Linked DNA regions of Ovis aries. The protein of the gene in region 2 interacts with the protein of the main gene of each other region in a biochemical or structural test. Links are inferred from orthologs where the notes say so. Each region holds a gene or a part of one and is shown on either strand. Other genes may lie near its edges. The genes, in order: SEC13, SEC31A and KLHL12.

Region 1 (3,650 bases), on a different chromosome or scaffold from region 2:
GTTGTAGGACGATTGAGTCTCCAGGAGTTTCATCAGCAGCTCCTTTGTGGAGGTTGCGGCTGGACCATTGTCCCAGCTAAGGGAGGTGGCTCTTGAGTGTCCGCAGCCCCGGATGAATGGGTGAGCAGGGAGCAGCTCACAGGTGTCAAACTCGGGTTTTTCCTTTTCTTGTACCCAGCACTGTTTCAGACTCTTAAATGAGTTGTCACAGACATCTCCCTCATGACCACCACGTGAAAGAAGTCACGCTGACGTCTCTCTCAAGAGACAAAGCGAAAGAGAGGGTAACGGCCCTGCCCTGAAGTCAGGCAGCCAGTGAGTGGGGATGGGTGTGAAAGAGCCCGACCCATCCGCTGTGTGCTGGGTGCCCCCTCTTCTGAGCCGCGGACCCAGTACAGAGCCTGGCACGGCACATCCTCAGACAGTAGTGACCAGGTGAACGCACAGAGGTGGGAAGGGAAGAGAGAGCCCTGCCTTTTGAAAAAGTGCAGAGTAGTGGAAGGCACTGAGATGAAACATTCACTGCCTGCTCAAGAGCACAGCCTCCTCAAAGGCTCTGCTGGCTCAGGAGAGAGGGCTGGCTTGCTTTCAGCCTCAGGGTCCTCACTGTCCGCTGAAAGTCCCTTTTTGAGTGGCATTATTCAGCTCTATCCCTTTTGAAATTCTTCGGCAGTTCTCTCCTGAGAAGCCATTCACTTCTGTCCAAAGTAGTGGCCGGCAGAGTGCCCTGCCTTCCTTTTGCCCATCTGAACAGCCTCTGGCCCTCTCGCCTTGCAGCCATGAGGGTCCCGTGTGGCAGGTGGCCTGGGCCCACCCCATGTATGGCAATATACTCGCGTCCTGCTCCTACGACCGGAAAGTCATCATCTGGAAAGAGGAGAATGGCACCTGGGAGAAGACCCACGAGCACACAGGACACGACTCCTCAGGTACAGCGCGGGGAGCGGGCGGGGACAGGGCGCGCGGTGGGAGGGTCCATCTACAGCGGAGGCAAGGTCCTAAAACCTGAAGCCAATACAAAGCAAAACGAGAAGAGCAAAGACGAGACGGTTGGTTGGTTGGTTTTTTCCTGTAAGGTTTATTCATTTCAAGTACTGGTCTTTGTTCTGAGAGTATAAGATAGGCTTTAGCTGATGATGATGATATTAGTAGGTGATGGGTTTTTTAAATCTCAATTGACAAAATTACAACTTTCCCCAAGGTGATCCCTACGATTTTTCTTTTCTTTTTTCTTTTTTTTTTTTAGAAATTTAGTTAACAGTAAGTCTCGGACGTGAAAGTCTCTCACTGTGCCTCCTTTCTTCCTGCAGTAAACTCCGTATGCTGGGCTCCCCACGACTACGGCCTCATCCTGGCCTGCGGCAGCTCGGACGGGGCCATCTCGCTGCTGACCTACACCGGGCTGGGCCAGTGGGAAGTAAAGAAGATCAACAATGCTCACACTGTAAGTCCACACCCTGCCTGCGGGTTGCGGCCTCGCCACGTGTCTGCCCTTCCCTCCTTAGAGAAGGGCAGGAGCGGCGTCACTGCTGTGCAGTGTGCCACAGGAGGGCTGCTGAGCAGACACCTGCTGGGCAGGTCTGAGGCTCTTTGTGCCGAAGCCAGACAGAGGCTACATCCAGGGAGGCCAGGCTGCACCTGCCTTATTCAGCCCAGGGCGGCGCTGGCAACTGGTTCCTCCAAGTCAGGGAGGGCCAGGGCACTGGCAGGGTGGCAGCAGTAGCCTGCCTATCTGCCACCCTTGCTGTGCACAGCGCAAGTTGACATGGCCTGCAGTGACCACTGGGGCCCCTGGAACTGATTGGTGTTACAAAAAGCATCATAGGAAGTTCTCTGCTTCCTGTGTAAGGGTGAAACAGTCAAGGAAGCAGTGTGAACAGTGCTGGGAGGGCTCAAATTTCTTGGGCCTCTACTGTATGTCACGTAATCCTCACAGATGTTTGTGAATCAAAAAACTAACATGTACAGATGCGTGAGGTCACCAGTCCTGTTCTCATTTTGTGAATAGATATGTGAGGCCCAGATAACTGACTTAGAGGAGGTGCTGTGCTGGGGTAAGAACACTGGAATCTGTGTACCCCTTGTCTACACAGTCGTCCAGCCTTGTTGGCCCCAGAGCTTCTGAAAGCTATCCAGATGGAAGTCAGCAGCCCCAAGTCTAACCCCGTACTTTCGCAGTTCTCAGATCCTGGGAATCCACAGCCTGCCCAGCCTTCAAGGCCCCAAGAGCCTTTCTGTGGCTCTTGTTACTTGGGACCCTGTGACCTACATCTGCTGACTAACGTAAAATTGAATAGGCCTAGAGGCTTCTGGAAAGATGGCAGGGAATGACGTCATAGTGCTTAAGTCTCTTCCACATCTCTGCATAGAAACCAACAGAGCAACTTAGGTAGCAAAAACAAAACTTTCTAAGCAGTAGTTGACAACAGAACCGGGTAAAAAGGTATTTCCATAAACTTGAAAATACAAGCGAAGAGGGATGGACCAAATACAGCACCAAGACTGCGTGGTGTGGGCATGCGAGCAAGACGAGGAAGTAAGTGGCGAGCAGTGCCTTCCAGTGGCACCTGCGGAGGACCCGCAGAGAGCAGGAGGTGTTCACGGAGAAGCGCAGACAGCCGCTGTTTGAGAACAGGGATTCTGGACTTCTGTTTGTAACATGTTAAACTCATAAAATTCACCCTTTTAAAAATACAGAGTTCTGTAGTTTTTGCTATACTCACAAAGTTGTACAACTCTCACCACTAACACCCAGTGGTATTATTGGGGTGATAATACTCATCACCCCAGTAAGAAACCCCATTAGCAGTCACTCTCCACCCTACCCTACCCCCAGCCCTAAGCAACCCTAGTCTACCTTCTACCTCTATGAATCTGCCCACTGGACATTGCTGGTGGACATTACATATTGTCTCTGGACACTGCCTGTAAGTGGAACTATGCAGTACAGCCCACAGAAGACTGACTTCTCTCACTTGGCTTGTTTTCAGGGTTTATCCATGTTTCATCCAGATCATAGCATATATCACTGCTTTGTTCCTTTTTTATGGCTGAATAATATTCCATTGCATGAAAAATATATATATATACACACACACACACATTTTATTTTGCATTTATTTCATTTTTATTGATCAGCGGTCATTATGAATAACACTCTTACAAACATTTGTGTATAAGTTTGTGGTTTTAATTTTTGGGGGTAACTGCCTGGGTGTGGAACTGCCAAGTAAGGGAAGCTCTGTTTAATTTTTTGAAGTAACTGCTAAACTGTTATCCAAATTAACTGCCCCGTTTTACATCCCTGCTAGCAGTGTATGAGGGCTTCGGTTTCTCCACATCCTTGCCAACATTCCTTTTCTTTTTGATGATAGCCGTCCCAGTGGGTGTAAAGTAGTACCTCCTTGCAGTTTCGATTTGAATTTCTCCAATGACTAATGATGTTGGGCATCTTTTCACATGCTTCCTGGCCTTTTGTGTGTCTTCTTTGGAGAACTGATAGGGGGATGGGCTTGCACTGTCTCATACTAGGTGAGTGCAGGGGACCCACCGTAAGAAAGACTGGAAAGGGGGCTGGGGAAGTCTCACCATATGACCCGCTGGCCTTGCTTCCACGGCAGTGCTCCTCGTGAGCAGAGGGACGCAGAGCC
Region 2 (3,650 bases):
CCTCGCTCAGCCCCCTGCCCCTTGGTACCACCAGTCTCTTCTGTATGTCCATGATTCTGTTTCTGTTTTGTAAATAAGTTCATCTGTGTCATATTTTAGAGTCTGCGTGTAAGTGATACCATGTGGCATTTGTCTTTCTCTTTCTGACTTACTTCACTCAGTATGATAATCTCTAGTTACACTCATGTTGCTGCAGATGGCTAACTCCTGTATTTAAAGCTGAGGAAATGTTGTTACATCATTTTTTTTCTTACTCCTGGTGCCTTTTGTCCATCTTTTAAAAGATGCCTGAGAACTTTACGCCTCCTGTTCCCATCACATCGCCAATCATGAACCCCTTGGGTGACCCCCAGTCACAGATGCTGCCGCAGCAGCCTTCAGCACCAGTACCGCTGCCCAGCCAAGCTCCGTTCCCACAGCCACACCTCGCCAGTGGCCAGCCCTTCCGTGGCATCCAGCAGCCCCTCAGTCAGCCAGGCATGCCTCCGTCGTTTTCAAAGCCCAATATCGAAGGTGCCCCTGGGGCTCCCATTGGAAATGCCATGCAGGTAACAGTGAATCTGTGGAAGTGGGAGATGGCTCTATTTTAGTGTGTTTCTTCAACGTGTTAACTTTTGTGGTTATACCTTTATTGTTATCTCAGTTTGATTTTCATTTAGACAACTTAAGTAAAAAAGAACTTTTTTTTTAAGATCACACGTGTACAGTATTTTCCAGTGATGTGGCCATATGCAAACATTCTAGATAGGGCTTATGTGTTTACTAGTATATGTTAACAGTAGCTTGGCAATTGAAGTATTTCGTTTCATCTAATCAGTAGCCACAATTTAAGATCAGTGGAATCCATATTGGCATCCAAGGCTGCTCAGCAGAAGCTGTTTCCAAAGGGTTTTTTCCTTTAAAATGTTTAAAGATAAAAATATAATGACTTCGATCTTTTCTTGTGTGTGTGTAAGAGCTAATAATATAGCCATATCTTTGGATAGAGATATCAGTTCATACTTGCTTTTCACATACAAGCAGCTAGTTGGCAGGGCTCTCAGTAATGAAAAAATCTTATCAGGTTTCCATGTAACTGACTTAGGCATAAAAGGTAATCTTGATCTATTCATGAAAAATAAAGAGGTTGGGTCCACAGTTCAACATAAGAAGATGAAATAAATTCCTGCCCAAGTATATAAAACTAGTTCTTCTGTCATTGTCTTTGACTCATTGAAGTCAAATTTATAAAGATTGTATCTATCACAAGAGTATGTTTTGCTGTTAAGAGAGTTCCTAGATATTAACAGTAGCATTATAAACTCCAGTGTTCTGATGGAGGTGGGAGGACCTGCTTCTTTTCACAAGAAGATACACTTGTATGCATTGTTAGTTTCCATGATTACAAGTCTGTGCCATTTGTAAAGCCATTCACTTGGGACCTGGGAGTTCGTGCTACACTCGTCTGGACCAGAACTTCAGTTACCAGGGAGAGGGAGAGCACCATGGATGTGTGTGGTTCAGCCAGGCAATGATACCCAGCTCCCTGTCCACTTGGATGTTTCTGAGGCACCTCACGCTTAGTATATCCAAAGTCCAATTCATAGTCTTCCTCCCAAACCTAGTTGTCTTTTGGTGTGTCTCGTTTCAGTTAATGCTACCATAATCCTTTTCATTTAATCCAGCCAGAAACCTGGGCATCTTTATACTCTTTTTCTTTTAACCTGTTTTCAGATCTATCCCCACATCTTGCTGATACTACTGTAAAGTCTCTCTCCCATCCCTTCTCCATGTTTCCAGTCTAGTCCATGCTGCCTTTGTCTCCAGTCTTCAGCAGTACAGGAGCCTCTCACTGGTCTGCCAGCATCTGCTATGACCCATCTCTTCTCTGGTCTTAGCTCATCGTTGCTTAACATGTTACCACATCCCACTGTTCTCAGGATAAGGACCAACATTTTTCATATTATCTGGAAGCTCTCAGCTCCTACTCCTCTTTGCTGTCTCTCTGCTCCAGCCAAGCTGACCTCCTTTCAGTCCCTATATCATGATCTTTCCTATGTACTGTTCTTCTGTCTGGAATGCACTTTTTCCCCTGTTTAACTCCTACTTAACCTTCTGATAAAACTTCCTTAAAGAGCCTTCCCCTCAGTTAAATCCCAGTTATATTGTCTGTTGGTTCCAGTGATGTGAACTTAACCACAGTTGCTGTTTTACATACATTTATGACATTTTTAAACTTTCCCTCCTGCTAGCCTGTAAACTCCCTGAGAGATAAGATTATTTCTGTATTGATTCATCAGTGCCTAATACATAATTGTCTAATATTTTCTACGAATGAATATAATCGATCAAAATTTTAAGCACTTACACATTCCTTCTTTGTTTATCCCTCTTATGCATTCAGTTAGGTCATGGTCTCTTCTATCCTAACCTTTGATTTAATCTCAGTTTGATAAAAGACCAGTTAACCAACCTTCAAGACTGTTTGAATAAACGAGAAGGAGCCAACAAGCAAAGAATGCAAGACTGTTGGAATAAACAAGGAGCCAACAAGCAAAGCAAGCAGTCACCCCCACCAGCCAGCTTTATAAACACCTGATTCTTTGTTTCTTACTGGCAAGGTCCTCTTGCTGATCAGTTATATACAGTCGTGATCAACATATGTTTCATGATTAAGCAAATACTTTATACCCAACCCTGCTTTTGAAAATAGAAGCTGTAGGAAGACTACCTGTATTTTCTATTGAATATCTGATTTTTCTGTTTGCTTATGCCAGGTGATTCCACGCGTTCATTTTTTGTTTGATTTTGAATGGCCTATCTATAAATTAGTTGTTTTCTCTTTATGACAGATTCAGGACTTTATATACAGGTAGTTTCTGGTCATTTCTGCTCATTTTAATGGTATTATTTCTTCCAGCATGTGCAGTCTTTGCCAACAGAAAAAATTACCAAGAAGCCTATTCCAGATGAACACCTCATTCTAAAGACCACATTCGAGGATCTTATTCAGCGCTGCCTCTCTTCAGCCACAGATCCTGTATGTGTTTTTTATTTTGCTTAATTAAAAGATTCCATTATGGAGCTCTTTTATATTTATTGCTTAAAGTCTTACAAGATGTATTTTGAAAGTTTTTGCAAAAGTGGTAAAGCTAGCATTTATGTATGGTTTGCTTTACATGTAAAAGCATACTCAGTTGTTTTTATATAATCCTTAAACCAGCCTCGTGGAGGTAGGTTTGTCATATTTATTTACAGATGAGGAAGTTAAGGCACAAAATAGTTACAGTATAATCCAGGCAGAGCCAGCATTCAGACCTAGTCTGGCTCCAGAATTCATGTTCTCAACCCCTGAGCTGCACTGACTCATCGACAGACATCATGTCCGGCGCAAGAACAGGGCAGAATGCTAAACTACAAGAAACTCAGACTTGGGGTTTCTTTCAGAGTGTATGTCTAAAGGTTTTAGAAGTAGGGACTTCCCTGGCAGTCTGGTGGTTCAGACTTTGCCTTCCAATTCGAGGGATGCAGGTTCAATCCCTGGTCAGGGAGCTAAGATCGCACATGCCTCATGGCCAAATAAACCAGAACGTGAAACAGAAGCAGTATTATAACAAGTTCAATAAAGACTTTTAATATGGTCCACATCAAAATATCTTTTTTTTAAAAAA
Region 3 (3,750 bases), on a different chromosome or scaffold from region 2:
ATTCACGATGAATTTCAAAGCAGCAGCTGGGGCCCTGCTGTGATTACACTCCATAATTATGAGGCACATTCTCCTGTCTGCCACGCTCTGATGGCACAACAATGCAGTACCCTCTGCCTAACTGGTTTCGAGATTTGCCCCACATTCGATGTACTTGATGTAGAGCTCCACAACACATCCATGCTTCCCTTACTGAAACCCTTCAGTAGCTGTCAACACCCAGAGTCTTCCCAGGCGTCCAAACACCAAGGCAGGGCAGTGTGTGGAACCTGACTGATCCACTCACCTCATCCAGACACAGCCCTCCAGCAACGGACCTAAGAACTCAGAATCAGTTTGGGCTGCAGGGTACCGAGTCAGATATCCAAAGTTTAGGACGGTGTCCCCGTGACTTGACTCAAAACATGTTAGGGCTGTACCCTTGAAGAAAACAGAAGCAGCCTGACTAGGCCCCTCGGTGTGTTGGCTTTCTTGCTGGCAGTGTCCTTGCTTGCAGCCAGGAATTAGGCAATATCATTAAAGCAACTAGATGCTATTCTGCAGCCAGAAGACAAGGGGTTGTTTTTATTTAAATTATACATACATTAAGTCCACATGATGTAAAATTCAAAAGGGACAAAAATACGTAGAGGAGAAAATCTCTCCCACCCTGTCTCCCAAACAACCAGTTCCTCTCTCCAAAGAAATTTCTGTTGCTACTCTACTTTGTATCTTTCCAACTGCAATTTTTATACATATACTGGCAAATATGACTGTATCTTTCCCTTCTACACAACTAATGGCAAAGAATACTCACTGTTCACAACTTCGTGGAATTGAATTGTACGGCGGCACCACACGTTACTGAAACAGTCCCCAATCCAATCTACAACCTTGTACACACATCCTTTTTCATGTGTGTGAGAATATACAAAGGATACATATACCCAAAAAATCGCTGTTAAAGGATATCTGCATTCATCATTCTGGCGAACTTTTACAAAATGCCCCCAGTAAAACCTGGATCAGTCCTGCACTCAGAAATTCGGAAATCAAGAGCATTTTAGATCAGAGATACTACATGAGAGATGGAAACACTACACAAAATTAGACTACGATACTGCCACCCGCTTGGCCATAGTTTTATTATCCCTGAAGAATCAAAGGCACCACAGTGGAAAACGGTACACTCAAGTACAGCTGGTTTGAACCTGCAAAGGAACAGTATCAAGAAACCTCATTCCCTTCCCAGGCGCTGAGATAAGTGCGCCAAAACCAATCAGAAGCAAAATTTCTAGCAGAACGCTCAGCACCCAGGAGCTGTGAAAGGCAGCAGAAGCGGACAGGGGGCCGGAGGACCCCCGGGACGTCTAAGGTCCTTCGCAGTCTCCCTGGCGGAGTCCCGCCTCCAGGGCCGCACGCCCCTTCCACGTAACTGTCTCGGAGGGCAAGCAGCAGAGAACCGCGCGGCGGTGGCCACAGACGCGACTGTGACGCAGAGAACGCCGAGGTCCGTGGTCGCGGGGCTCCGGGATTCTCATCACAGCGATGGTCGGCCCGAAAAGGCCACTGCGGACTATGGACGGGAGGAAACGGGGCGCCTCGGTGGGTTTCCTCGACGTGAGAGGGCGCCTGAACGCCTGTCAGGTGAAACGCGCCCTGCGGCCAGCTCCCTACCTTGGACACCTGCGCACTCCTCTCGGGTCTCCGCGTCTTGAGGCCCCAGGGTCGGTGGTCGCAGGGAGTCTCGGCCGCGGGCCGCACCCGTGCCGGGGCCCGCGCCCCCTTCGCGCCGCGTCCACCCGCTCCGCCCAGGCCCGCCCGCGGCGCCCGCAGTCACGTGACAGCGGCCTCGCACGTGACGCGGGCAGGCGCGACGTCATCACGGCGCGCGGCCGCGGGCGCGGCGCCGGAGCCTCCGGGTCCGGGCGGCGGCGCTTGGGCACCTCCCGGGCCGCCCGCTCGCCCCGCGCCCGCCCGGCGGGCCGGAGCGCAGGTGAGTGGCCCGGGGGCGGCAGCCGGTGCCCTCCCCCGCCGCCGTCCCCTCAGGGCGGGCGGGGGCGTCCAGGCGTCGAGCGCCGCGACCTCCGTCAGGAGGCTGTCGGGGAGGGGGGCGCCGCTGCTGTTGTCGCCCGCCGGGAGGCGGCCCCTCCAGCGGGGAGCTCGCGGGGGGCCCCGGACCAGGTGCCCTGGGGCGGAGCGCGGCCGGGGACCCCGGGAGCGGGCAGCCGCACGCTGGGGCCGTGTCTGTCTGACGCGCAGAGCCGGCTCCGACCCGCCGCCCCAGGGTCCTCCCCGTATAGCGGCGTCCGTGCGGGCCTTTCTCAGTCTCCAGAGTTGAAACGAAGTTGACTGCAGGAAGGCCTTTCTGGATATCGTCTTACGCCTGGATGAGCCACCTCCTTTCCTGTAGAACGGGTCCTGTGGAGTGGCTGGAGACCGTAAAGAATAGTGCGCTACCCATAAACAGGAGTAGATGAGGATTTAGGGGCTCGTTTTCCCTTTTCGTATAAAACTATGGTTGTGAGTTGTGGATTTTCGAAAAGCATAGTTTGATTTGATTTTCTTGGATCCTTACAGAAAATTTTGGATTCCACATAAGACAGACTCTTAGTCACCTTCCAATTTCGTTCCCCAGAAATTGTCCTTGAAGCAAATAAACAAAAATAAAATAATAACTTAACTGAAGCTTGTCAAAAATCAAGAAATTACTTCTATTAATTTTTTGACGTGTAGCCTGTTACTGAGTTCATTTAATTTATGCATACAGTGAACTTTACAAGTAACTGGCTGTGGCCATAAAATTAGTAGTAGTGTTTTGATACGTTTTCTATCCCAGTAATTCTCTCATAGTATAGAAGAATTACTACAAATACTAATTTGTTAATATTGATGAATGTATACTAATAGTTAGAGTAGGTGGACTTTCTATAGAACTTCAGTAGCTTAAGCTTGCATGGTCTCCATTATTCAGTGTAGGTACTGCATCCCCTGGAGAAGGATAATGGCATCCCACTCCAGTATTCTTGCCTGGAGAATCCCCGTGGACAGAGGATCATGGCGGGCTACAGTCCATAAGGTCACAAAGTGTCGGACATGACTGAAGTGACTTAGCATGCAGGCATGCATTGGGTCCTCATTTGAGGTTTCATTTTAAGAACAAATCCAAATATAGTTGGAAGTCATCATAAATAATTAATTGGGTGCTTCTTTAGAAAAAGTTTATTTTCACTGATACTGGCCCTTTTGCTCTAGGTTGAAGGTGCAGTTCCTTTCTTGCATTCTGTTACTGAACGTTTATTATACACTTGCTGGGAGAGAAAAAAAAAGATACATATATATAAAACTGGGTCCCCACCCTCTATAAATATTCAGCTACTTAATTTCCTTTAGGGTATTAAAAATAGTGACATCACACCTTTAAGAAATTGTATCTTCTGACTTTCACCGTGAGAGAGAGCGGCCTTGTGAAGATAGGTGAGAGAGGAATAGTCTCTTTCTCCTTGCAGCAGGGTGTTGGCGGCAGTTATGTCGGGTGGTTTGGGCACTCCATGGCAAGGGGAGTTCAGAGGGAGGAGGGATCCGATTTACTCAGGGGAATTAGTGGCTGGGTTGTGTTGGTAATGCCAGGAAGAGGCGTGTGCTCTACCTGTGGATGTTTGAGTCTGATGGCGCCGCCTCTGTTTGTAAAGCTAACTGAATATATGCAGTGTCCCCAGGCTTTCACACGTGCTCCCTGGCTTTGTTTCTTAGAGAATTCAAGGACCCCTT

What was found.
Region 1: the proteins of SEC31A (region 2) and SEC13 form a complex in vitro, tested with the Homo sapiens proteins (2 studies listed by BioGRID and IntAct, with this or other methods). The link is inferred for Ovis aries from reciprocal best matches to the Homo sapiens genes SEC31A and SEC13.
Region 3: of the proteins of SEC31A (region 2) and KLHL12, one has a biochemical effect on the other in vitro, tested with the Homo sapiens proteins (3 studies listed by BioGRID, with this or other methods). The link is inferred for Ovis aries from reciprocal best matches to the Homo sapiens genes SEC31A and KLHL12.

What each region holds. Positions count from the first base shown.
Region 1 is NC_056072.1:54,315,621-54,319,270, reverse strand, and holds part of SEC13 (protein SEC13 homolog), read left to right. Parts: intron 1-777; coding exon 778-929; intron 930-1,310; coding exon 1,311-1,444; intron 1,445-3,650. UniProt on the Homo sapiens protein: Functions as a component of the nuclear pore complex (NPC) and the COPII coat. At the endoplasmic reticulum, SEC13 is involved in the biogenesis of COPII-coated vesicles.
Region 2 is NC_056059.1:98,364,402-98,368,051, reverse strand, and holds part of SEC31A (protein transport protein Sec31A), read left to right. Parts: intron 1-284; coding exon 285-548; intron 549-2,899; coding exon 2,900-3,019; intron 3,020-3,650. UniProt on the Homo sapiens protein: Component of the coat protein complex II (COPII) which promotes the formation of transport vesicles from the endoplasmic reticulum (ER).
Region 3 is NC_056065.1:79,286,463-79,290,212, forward strand, and holds the start of KLHL12 (kelch-like protein 12), read left to right. Parts: upstream 1-1,457; 5' UTR 1,458-1,584; intron 1,585-1,860; exon of another isoform or gene 1,861-1,975; intron 1,976-3,372; exon of another isoform or gene 3,373-3,456; intron 3,457-3,732; 5' UTR 3,733-3,750. UniProt on the Homo sapiens protein: Substrate-specific adapter of a BCR (BTB-CUL3-RBX1) E3 ubiquitin ligase complex that acts as a negative regulator of Wnt signaling pathway and ER-Golgi transport.